Linked DNA regions of Saccharomyces cerevisiae S288C. The gene in region 1 interacts genetically with each later gene. Each region holds a gene or a part of one and is shown in the gene's direction. Other genes may lie near its edges.

Region 1 (3,802 bases):
CGAGGCCAATTTGAACGAAACTGGTAGAGTTCTTGCAGTCGGTGATGGTATTGCTCGTGTTTTTGGTTTGAACAACATTCAGGCTGAAGAATTGGTCGAGTTCTCCTCTGGTGTTAAAGGTATGGCTTTGAACTTGGAGCCTGGTCAAGTCGGTATCGTTCTTTTCGGTTCCGATAGACTGGTTAAAGAAGGTGAATTGGTCAAGAGAACCGGTAATATTGTTGATGTCCCAGTCGGTCCAGGCCTTTTGGGTAGAGTTGTCGACGCTTTAGGTAACCCTATTGATGGTAAAGGTCCTATTGACGCTGCCGGTCGTTCAAGAGCTCAAGTCAAAGCACCAGGTATTTTGCCAAGAAGATCTGTCCATGAACCAGTTCAAACCGGTTTGAAAGCCGTTGACGCCTTGGTCCCTATCGGTAGAGGTCAAAGAGAGTTGATTATTGGTGATCGTCAAACAGGTAAGACTGCTGTCGCCTTAGACACCATCTTGAATCAAAAGAGATGGAATAACGGTAGTGACGAATCCAAGAAACTTTACTGTGTTTACGTTGCCGTTGGACAAAAAAGATCTACCGTTGCTCAATTGGTCCAAACTTTGGAACAACATGACGCCATGAAGTACTCTATTATTGTTGCAGCTACTGCATCTGAAGCCGCTCCTCTACAATACTTGGCTCCATTTACTGCCGCATCCATTGGTGAATGGTTCAGAGATAATGGAAAGCACGCTTTGATCGTCTATGACGATTTGTCCAAGCAAGCCGTGGCATACCGTCAATTATCTTTGTTGTTGAGACGTCCTCCTGGTCGTGAAGCCTACCCTGGTGATGTCTTTTACTTGCATTCAAGATTGCTAGAAAGAGCCGCTAAGCTTTCTGAAAAGGAAGGTTCTGGTTCTTTAACTGCTTTGCCTGTTATTGAAACCCAAGGTGGTGATGTCTCCGCTTATATTCCAACCAATGTTATTTCCATTACCGATGGTCAAATTTTCTTGGAAGCTGAATTATTCTACAAGGGTATCAGACCTGCCATTAACGTTGGTTTGTCCGTTTCTCGTGTCGGTTCCGCTGCTCAAGTTAAGGCTTTGAAGCAAGTCGCTGGTTCCTTGAAATTGTTTTTGGCTCAATACAGAGAAGTCGCTGCTTTTGCTCAATTCGGTTCCGATTTAGATGCCTCCACCAAGCAAACTTTGGTTAGAGGTGAAAGATTGACTCAATTGTTGAAGCAAAACCAATATTCTCCTTTGGCTACAGAAGAACAGGTTCCATTGATTTATGCCGGTGTTAATGGTCATTTGGATGGTATTGAACTATCAAGAATTGGTGAATTTGAGTCCTCCTTTTTGTCCTATCTAAAATCCAATCACAATGAGCTTTTGACCGAAATTAGAGAAAAGGGTGAATTGTCTAAAGAATTGTTGGCATCTCTAAAGAGTGCTACTGAATCATTTGTTGCCACTTTTTAATGTGAACTAAAAAAATAAAAATGAATATAAGGTACGTCTCAAAAAGAAATGTAAATATAGAAATTTTAAAAAAAAAAACGAAAAAAAACATAACTAAATTTAAAGTGCAGCCAAACAATAACCCTGAAAAATCTAAATATCTTAGAATTTTTTTATTTTGATTATTATATATTATTATTATTCTTATGGTAAATAATGCCCCTACTTTTCTTCTAAGGAAATGAGTTACTACAAAAATAAGGAAATATCGCCTGCAAGCGGTTTTTATTTTGGAGTTGTTTTTTTTTTTCCCACAATAGCCTCTAGTTTATTCCATTCTTAGCACTGACTCTTTTTTCCGCCACTATTTCTTATAAAAGGCCCGAATTTCTGGCACGGACGTTGTTTTTAATAATAAAATATTGAATGACAGTTAAAAAATCACGTAGTCAGTTAATCTGTTTAACTTGAAAATATGTCTGAATCAGTGGCCATTATAGGTGCAGGATTAGTAGGCTGCCTTGCAGCTTTGGCATTCTCCAAAGAAGGCTACAATGTCACACTATATGATTTTAGACAAGATCCTCGATTGGACACCACCAAAAATAAAAATTTGAAATCCATTAATTTGGCTATTTCTGCTCGTGGCATTGATGCTCTGAAATCAATAGATCCGGATGCTTGTGAACATATTCTGCAAGATATGATTCCCATGAAAGGCAGGATGATTCATGACTTGAAAGGCAGACAGGAATCACAATTGTATGGCTTGCATGGAGAAGCTATTAATTCTATCAATAGATCTGTATTAAATAATAGCCTTTTGGACGAATTAGAAAAATCTACAACAGAACTGAAGTTCGGTCACAAATTAGTCAAAATCGAATGGACAGATGATAAACAAATCTGTCATTTTGCCATTGGGGAAGATTTGAAAACCCCACATACTGAAAAGTATGATTTTGTCATAGGTTGTGACGGAGCATACTCTGCGACGAGATCGCAAATGCAACGTAAAGTTGAGATGGATTTTTCACAAGAATATATGAATTTACGTTACATTGAACTTTACATCCCGCCTACTGAGGAATTCAAGCCAAACTATGGCGGAAATTTTGCAATAGCTCCTGACCATTTGCACATTTGGCCTCGTCATAAATTCATGTTAATTGCGCTCGCCAACAGTGACGGCTCGTTCACTTCAACCTTTTTCGGTTCTAAAGATCAAATATCAGATCTGATAACTTCCAAGTCACGTGTGAGGGAATTCTTAATCGAGAACTTTCCCGATATTATTAATATTATGGATTTGGACGATGCTGTCAAAAGGTTTATCACTTATCCAAAGGAAAGTCTTGTCTGTGTAAACTGTAAGCCATACGATGTACCAGGCGGAAAGGCCATCCTACTCGGCGACGCTGCCCATGCAATGGTTCCATTTTACGGCCAAGGTATGAATTGCGGATTTGAAGATGTGAGAATTCTTATGGCGCTATTGAAAAAGCATTCAGGAGATCGTTCAAGAGCCTTTACTGAGTACACTCAAACAAGACATAAGGACCTAGTTTCTATTACTGAGCTGGCAAAAAGGAACTATAAAGAAATGTCACATGACGTTACATCCAAGCGGTTTTTATTAAGGAAAAAGCTAGATGCTCTCTTTAGTATTATAATGAAGGATAAGTGGATACCTTTGTATACAATGATATCTTTCAGATCCGATATCTCGTATTCTAGAGCTTTAGAAAGGGCTGGAAAGCAAACACGTATCTTGAAATTCTTAGAATCTCTGACACTCGGTATGTTATCTATTGGCGGTTACAAGCTTTTCAAATTTTTGACAAGAGAACGTTCCTGAAGCCAGTTTATTCTTGCCATCCGTGTACGCTAGGAGAGGATTATTAAAATAAGTGATATATACATATATATATATATATATATATATATAATACACTAATTATTTTATGTGATGTTGATCACGCGAAACGGTAAACGGCTCTGTTCGCGCTTTCTTTGTTTACATTTTAGTGAAGTATTGTCAAGATAATATCCATATGGTTGAACTTTTTATATTGGCTAGTTAAATACTCTATTTATTGCACCAAAAAATCATCTTAGTGGACTTTTTGGAGCAAAAAAAACCAGCAGGTAGTTATATAAGATGACTACACAACTAAGGTATGAAAATAACGATGACGATGAAAGAGTAGAATATAATCTCTTTACCAATAGATCCACCATGATGGCAAATTTTGAAGAATGGATCAAAATGGCTACAGATAATAAAATCAATTCCCGAAATAGTTGGAATTTCGCATTGATCGACTATTTTTATGACTTGGACGTTTTGAAAGATGG
Region 2 (8,274 bases), on another chromosome or scaffold:
ACAACTGCTGGGAAGCAGTTGAAGAAAACCAGCTCGGCATTTCAGGAATTGGAGACTTTTCCTTCGTGGCTTCTTGGGACACATTACTCTCGGTATTCTTTTGAAAAAGCAGGGAATTTTCATTGTTAAAATCAAACTGTGGTATCTTGTGAGAAATAAAATTCAGGTTTTGCTCCCCCTCTGTTAAAATAGCCCCTTTATCCTCCTGCTGAGACGGTGGCCTAAACTCAGAAAGAACTGTCTTGCTGGTCCTTTTGATGACCGACTCTGATTTGCTATTCAAATTTGTGACATGATACGGTTGCTTACTATCCGGTTGTGCGCCAAGTAATCCATACTGTACTATTGGTGGACGAGCCTCTGTACCTTTTGACGTTACCGGCTTAGCGATTTTTGATTTGTCGTCCGCTTCAGGTTTCTTTTCCATCTTAGAAAGTTGCACTGCCTCCATCATTTCAATTTCCTCAATTTGTTTCAGGTAATCCTCATCGTCGTCTTCCACGCTGATTCTGCTAATTCTCATTGTTGGAGTAGTCTTGGAGGGCGATGCCTGATCATGTCTTTTGTCCAAAAACGATTTACTGCCAGCGTTGTTTAGGGATTGGCCCATGTAAGGCAACCTTGCAGCTTTCAAAGAAAAATCTTCCACAAACTTGACGTTCTTGGGCTTGAGTTCAACTTCTTCCCACTCACATTCATCAGAGTCACATCCCTCATCTTCTGACCGGTTACTCCTTTTCTGTGGAGCTGTCGTCGCGTTAGAAGACTCATGTCGCACTATTTTTAAGGAATTATCTTCCAAATCATCCCATCGGAGCACGTCCCCGTCCTCAGCATTACTATCTAACTGCTTTACCAAAGCGCCTGCATCTTTATCGTCTATTACGATTGCTTTTTGCGCATCAGAGCCATCGTTTGCCCCTAGTCCAAGAATCCACCCGTTATTAGTCTTAGTCAACTTGTACTCTTTACTCTTTTGGCCGGATATCCTATTGATCACCTCCTCGTTCAGCTTAGACGCTCCACCATCCTGAAACCCAGTAGTGTTGATTAACTTTTGAGTAAAAAAATTCCTCCTTTTCACCATGTCTATTTGAAATCTTGAGAAATCCATACTATTTGGGAAGATGGTCTCCAATTGTTCTTTCGAGTATCCCATCCTCAGTCTTGATTTCAACCTCAACGACGATAATATCAAATACTGTGTGGCCTTTGGCAGCTCTTCAAATTCGGCCGATGCTGGATTTATAGTGTCTAAATCAATGTCTTCCAGTCCATCACCGTTTATCGAATTCATCAGTTTTTCAAAAGTTTTATTAGAGTTAACTCTTGCATCTTCCTTATCGTATTTGAATCCCGGTATATCGGGCAAGTCCCACTCGTCCTGAGGTTTGAAGATCTGCACACTACTGCCACTACTCGGTGTAGAGTTTTTTACGTTATCGTTTGAGCCGTTTTGCAATTGTAAAGCCAGCAGCTTCCTAGCGGTGGATTTCGCACTCTCTCGTTTTCCCTGTCTTCTTTCTTTCCTCTGCCGTATTGTTTCCCTTTTCAATACGGGCACACCACCATCAAAGACGAATACCGGCCTAATGCCAAAGTATAATAGCTTACAAATTCTTCTAAAGAACCCAGTAATATGAGAATTCTTCACTGCATTCCCCTCCTGATCACGGACAGCTTTCAAAAACTGATATATCCAAATGGAGGCATCTACTGCCATTCTCTTATCTTCCAAGGATTCCAGCCTGACCGGTCTTGCCGTAGGACCTGCAATATCCCAAAATGAATGCACACCCATGTCTGAAGTTTGGCGTTCTCCCGAAAATGCTTTTCTTCATGGATGACGTGTAGAACCTTCAATGATTTACGTACAGTTTTTCAATCCCTTTAAGGTCTCTATATGTGGCGGCATCTTTTCTTTTTCTTTTCTTTTTTTTTTTTTCACTCTCCCTTTTAATGCCTCCACGGAGGTTCGAATGGGTTATACTAGAAAGAAAAAAAAATAGTGATAATTAACAATGAAAAAAAAAAAACAGCAACAAAATGTGGTATTGGGGTCACACCACTCATTGACTCACATCCTCTGGAAACATCAAAAAGCTACCAAAAAAGAAAAAAAAAAAAATTCAAGTGCGAAGTTTCCGCATATGCAAACCTTACTTATTGTATAATATTGGTAACAGCAGCTACTAAGCTCCCTGACTCTGATTTCTCTCTCTGTCTCTTTTGAGGAGTACCTTCTGCGCTACTGTGTTCCAATGGTATCTGCGCCTTGAAAATCAATCACAAACGCTCTTGCTATGGCCTGCCTTGGACACGATACGTCGCTGCTTATGCCGCCAGGTGTCAGTAAATGCTCTGACGCACCCATTCACCCCGCGCACTAATTTGCAAAATTTGGGGGCAGTTTGGGAATACTCCATAGAAAAAATCGACTTCAAATCAATTCCGCACAACGTCGCCGTGTTGGCTAAAGTGAACGGAAAATGGACGACATGGTAAAAGAACAGATATGTACATATACAGAAGCCGCGATTTCACATGCCGGCCATTATGGCACACAACCAGGTCTTGTACTGTCACTATGTGCGTTCCGGAACGCCTGTACAGTCCATGGTGAACCATTTATTTATTTATTATTATTATTTTGTACATTATTATTTATGCTATATGTTATTATTATTATCACTATTTAATATTATTATTCGGGTCCAGGTGAAATAACAAAGTCTGGCGCCAGTCACTTGTCTGGGTGCCCGTATTCTCTGTTACAGCGGTATCCCTCTGGATTCTGCAATCGTCGCCGGCTTCTACTAATTTTTCCTTTCCTTTTTGTTTTTTTTTTTTTTTAGTTTTTTATTTTCTAGTTTCCTGCTCGTATTCTGTTGGTTTTTCCAGTGTCTCTCTCCTTTTACAAGTCACCCATTCTCTGCGAAGAAGCGGTCGCACCAACAAAATAGAAAATACCACCGGACGCCGGATCGCTTATTACTCGCAATCATAGTTACCAATCACAGCCGGGCATACTCGGGATCTACCGTAGAATCCTATGCGTCACACATGAGGACAGGTTACGAACCGTCGAAGGCTTCGCGGCGTGTGTGATTAGTATTGTTTTGACCTCATCCATACACCCTGAAATATCTGTCGCATCTCCGATTACGTTAAAAATTCTGGATAATATATAAACCATGAGTTTTCCTTTCTTTGAAGTATGTTCCTACTCGAGATCCTTTTGTTATTTTATTGCCATTTTTTTTTTGTTTCATATGTACTTCTTATCTACTATTTATATTTCTCTATATTAACTAACTCTCCAAGCTATAAGCATACGTCCATATTTACTGTCTTAGAAGTCGTATTCACATCACAGTTTTCCCCCTCTTCGCCTTTTTCAAACTATTTTCCCCCGTGAGACAGCGACTGAAAAAAAAACGACTGCGCAGAAGGCTTATATAAAAAAAAAAAGAAATATTTCTTCACTTTCGAGCATTGAACTATTGTCATTACCTCTAGATGAGCAACAAATTTACAATGGAGTCACCTAAGCATTTGGTGGATGATGTGCTTTTCATATCACCCACCAATGATGGATCAGAAGAAAAGCCTACGGAAGTCACGTTCCAGGAAGATGAAGGCCATGACGCTAGCTTGCATAATCGCAGCCATGACAAGAAGTCGGAACTTGCCACCGAACGGGAAATTATGGCTACTACCACGGATGATGACGGCATCCCCTCCCCTTCCCATCCAATGGAAAAGCGTGTCTTGCGCAAAATGGATATATACTTGATTCCTCTTATGGGGATGCTATATTTCCTTTCTAACCTGGATAAATCGAATATTGGTAACGCAGAAGTTGCAGGTCTATCCAAGGATATCCACCTTGTAGGAACGCAATATAACACATGTGTCACAGTTTTTTTCGCGACGTATGTTCTTTTCGACCCCATAGGTACTAACCTTCTGAAAATTATGGGTCCGCCATTAATGATGAGTATCTGTTTGACCTGTTTCGGTGCTATTTCGCTCGGAACTGCTTGGGTTAAGAATTATGCTCAATTGATCGTTGTCAGACTACTACTGGGTGCCTTTGAAGGTATGATTTATCCCGCTATTAACATGTACCTTTCAGTCTGCTATAGAAGAGAACAATATGCTCTGAGGTTCGCTTTTGTCTTCAGTGCAGCCTGTTTGTCTTCATCTTTTGGTGGGCTGATTGCTTATGGTTGTTCCAAAATCAGCGGTTCTCTAAAGGACTGGCAATACATTTACATTGTCGAAGGTTGTATCTCTTTGGGGTTCGTACCATTCTATGCCTTCGGGTTGAGCAAAAATTTGGAGGATTCGTGGTTTTTCAATAAGGAGGAAAAAGAGTACATTTCCGAAAGATACAAGACTATGAACACTTTTGACCCGGACGAAAAATTTGAATGGTTCCAAGTGTGGCAAGCAGTTAAGGATGTCAAGACTTGGGCTAGTGCTGTGGCATTATTCGGTATCGATTTGACTACTTTTGGTCTAACAGTCTTCTTGCCGATCATCATTACCAGTATGGGGTTCACTAATGTCAGAGCTCAATTAATGACCGTGCCCATCTATTTCCTTACAGCAATTGTGTTCTTCATTTGTGCCGTTTGGTCTGATCGTATAAAGTTGAGATCTCCATTCATCCTGGGTGCTTGTCTGACGACTTCGATAGGCATAGCTATCGTCCTTGGTTCTCAAGTTCATGGTGTGAGATATTTTGGCGTTTACATTCTTTGTATGGGTATTTACGTTAATGCTGCCTGTAACTGTTTATGGTTAAGTGGTAACACTGGTAATTACTTCAAGAGAGCCACCGCTTTAGGAATTAATCTATTTTTCGGGTCTGGTTCAGGGTTGGTCTCTGGTCAAATTTTTGTTGCCAAAGACAAGCCAAGATATATCAAAGGGCTGTCGATTAGTCTGGCCTTTCAAGTCTTCTCCATATTTATGACGGTTGTGCAAATTTTCCTATACAAGAGGGAAAACGATAAAAAGAAAGCAATAATAGATCGCTGTAATGAATTGGGAGAGCCTATTCCATACGACGAAAGGTTAAGCGACAAAAACCCTGAGTTTAAGTACATGTATTAGGCTTGACTTTCTTCACCCTCCACTTTTTTTGCCCCTCGTTATGAGTGTGTTTGCAATTTGTAACTTTTCTTTTATATTTGTATGTATTTTTGTACTAAGCAAATTCACATGAAACTTTGTTTACCAACTTCTCTTTTGTTTTCGTCCCAAACACGTATATTACTGGGAAGATATACATGCCTATATCTATATCTATAAATATACATATTTATATAGTATTATCTCCGAGTTCTAAAGCTCCAGATGCGAAGAAGACGTTCCCGAAGAAGACGTTCCCAAAGAAGAGTCACTATACTCATCATCGTCACTGCTCTCTTCCGATTCGTCTTCATCCTCGTCACTGCTTTCTTCCACCACCTTTATAATTTTCCTTGGTTTACTCTTCCTTTCTGGAATGTCGGAAAAAAACTCGTCCAGGCTTTGCAAACGATATTTCTTCCCGTTTTGAGATGTGAAGGTGTTTACGTTACCTTTACCTGAGATGCTATTGCTATCGCCGTCATTGATCCCAGTCAATTTTGCGTTGGAGCTAGATGTGAAAGATCTTGCTGAGTTGTTGGTAATAAAAGACTGCGATGAAAAACTTTTTTTGTATTTGTTATAGTCTTTCAATTCTGCGCCTTCTCTAATATCGTTACCTGTCTCGCCAACCTCAGTAATTTCAGTATTCCAAGGAAGCATTCTAAAAAATTCTTTTATTTCTGGGGTATGTGTTTCCAATCTTGCAGAAACGATAAAATCGTCACTTCTTGCCGTAGGTTTAGGTGCTTGTAATAGTAGTGACACAATTTCATATTTCCCTGAATCAAACAAGGATGAAATCATCCTGGCTCTATCCCTAATATCAAATTCGTCATCATATTTTGCCAAGTAAAGGACCGCATTGTACATTTGAGAGATTCTTGAACCACTAAAATCATAGTATGGGGGATTTTGGTTATTTTCTTCGCTTCCAGTAACTTGCGCTTGCTTAAAATTATCAATGTCATATGACAACAGTTTTGCTGATAACACTAAGATCTGACATCTTGTCTCAGGACCCTCATTTGAAAAATTCTGGATTAGCCTCCTCAAAACGTCCGGACATATCTTAAATTCAATCGAGGCAATTTCACCAAATAACCAAACAATACCTGCACGAGCATTATCAGCCAAACTCGTTTGAACTGTTAATAAATCTGCAAGCTTGAAGATTATGCGAAGATGTTTTGTAGGATTTTTTTGCACCAGCATCCTGATAACATTCACGTATGCATCTAGGACAGAAGCAGAGAGGTTGTGGGATTCCATATGATCAATTAACCACTTCATTACATGTGATTCCCAACTCGTTGACAATTGGCCACATCGAGATAATGACTTAACCGCCATAATAACAACATTTTCTGGGAAATGAGCACTGGCAACATAATATTTCAATTCTTTGAATATTTCTTTAACGTTTGATTCATTTATTAACGTGGACAAAATTTGGATCTTCCAAATTGATGCCACAATAGGATCTTTGGGGAAAACGTAAAATTTCTTGGTGTAGGGTAAAAATAGTGTCTGGTCTAAGATCGATAAGAAGTGAATTGCTTGTAAAAGCATTTCTTTGTTACCTTGGTTTTCTGTCATGGTTACCGTTCTAACCAATGCTTCAATAAATTTAGTATTTTTCATCTGCAATGGTGAAGCTAACTGATATAGCGCATTGCAACACGATAAAATCACTGTAGGGTTGGAACTATAAATTAAGCAATTCAAACTCTGTAGAAATAAATCTAAATCAGGGTCATTTACCACCTCGTAAGATGGGTATTCAATCTCGTTGTATTTATCTGGTAAAGGACAACTCCTTGGGGAACCTTCTGATGATTTATCGACCACAGTTGGTTTTGGTAAATACTGCTTACAGTACTTGATTAGCAGCTCAATTAAATATGATTGTGACCACGAATCTAGTTGCTTAATTATTCTACAATATCTGCGAAAATGTCCATGCAATAGCTCCAAGTGATCCGCATAACATTCTTTGTAAGCTAGGACAGCACAGGATATCACCTTAGGATCTGTATCTGCCATTAATTCTTTCAGAATATCCAACAATTCTTCATGATAGTCATTCTTTCCAGCCCTATATAATTTGATAATGGCCAAGGCGACTTCACCACGAACCATTGCAGATGGATCTGTAACCAATTTCTTGACAGTATGCAAAATTATAGGTGCTAATGATGACATTTTCATGTCAGAAAGGGCACTCAAAGCAAAGCATCTCAGTTCGGAATTCGAATCAGACAATGATTTTTGAAGAGAATTAATAGATAACAGGGTCAGGTTTGGGTCATTTTCTGCAAATCTAAGTAAATACAGGTGAATAAGTCTTTTCACTTTGGTGTCATTAGTGGTGATATTCTTTACAACATCAGCAAAGTATAATTGAACGTCAATAGAGTCATCATCGGAAGCCATTATAGATATTATTCTCTTCATTGCATCTCTAACTTCTCTAGAGTTCCTAGAATTTAACAAGGTGACTAACTGTTGAGGATTGATGTTTTGAGAATAATAAGTATAGGAGGATTCACCCAGCTTAGAGGTGGCTACCGCGGCAGCTTCCCTCGTTATTACTTTGGCCGTATCCAACGCCGATGCAATACGGTGAATTGAATCTACCATTGCTGGTTGTCCACTTTTCGATTGTTTGCTGTCTTTGGTTTACCTTTCTTTTCTTTATATATTTATATATATGGTTCTTCAAAAATGATTTGTCTGAATTTGTCAAAATCTCAATAACTCGGACACGCTTTGATGGTAACATACCTAAAAGTTATGTACGTTAATATAAATTATAGATACATATTATGTGCAGCGATATACAGGCAGTACGCTAGCATTTATATTATCCTAGCATACTTCTCTTACGACCACGCAACCTGACCTCTTCGAATCTTTTGGTAACTTCTTTCAGTTTCTTGGCACCTTTCGCACCTTGTTCACGATAGACCTCTTCGAACCCCTCCATGATCCAAGCATTGTATTTTTCCGCATGCTTCGAATGTGTACTTAAAATAGCTCTCTCTAAGACGTATAAATCGACGCCTTTATCTTCGACCAGGTTTGAAACTGAGCCCAGACCGAAATCAATCAAATGAGGCGTCCATCTCG

Evidence for each region.
Region 2: mutations in BNA4 (region 1) and TNA1 together harm fitness more than expected from each alone (negative genetic interaction), as found in Saccharomyces cerevisiae (3 studies listed by BioGRID).

The regions. Positions count from the first base shown.
Region 1 is NC_001134.8:37,226-41,027, forward strand, and holds BNA4 (kynurenine 3-monooxygenase), read left to right. Parts: upstream 1-1,919; coding exon 1,920-3,302; downstream 3,303-3,802. Other genes in the region: ATP1 (F1F0 ATP synthase subunit alpha), read left to right, coding at 1-1,465; condensin subunit BRN1, read left to right, coding at 3,606-3,802. UniProt on the Saccharomyces cerevisiae protein: Catalyzes the hydroxylation of L-kynurenine (L-Kyn) to form 3-hydroxy-L-kynurenine (L-3OHKyn). Required for synthesis of quinolinic acid.
Region 2 is NC_001139.9:1,008,966-1,017,239, forward strand, and holds TNA1 (Tna1p), read left to right. Parts: upstream 1-3,519; coding exon 3,520-5,124; downstream 5,125-8,274. Other genes in the region: ssDNA endodeoxyribonuclease RAD2, read right to left, coding at 1-1,801; APL6 (AP-3 complex subunit beta), read right to left, coding at 5,356-7,785; serine/threonine protein kinase BUD32, read right to left, coding at 8,009-8,274. UniProt on the Saccharomyces cerevisiae protein: Involved in the uptake of nicotinic acid.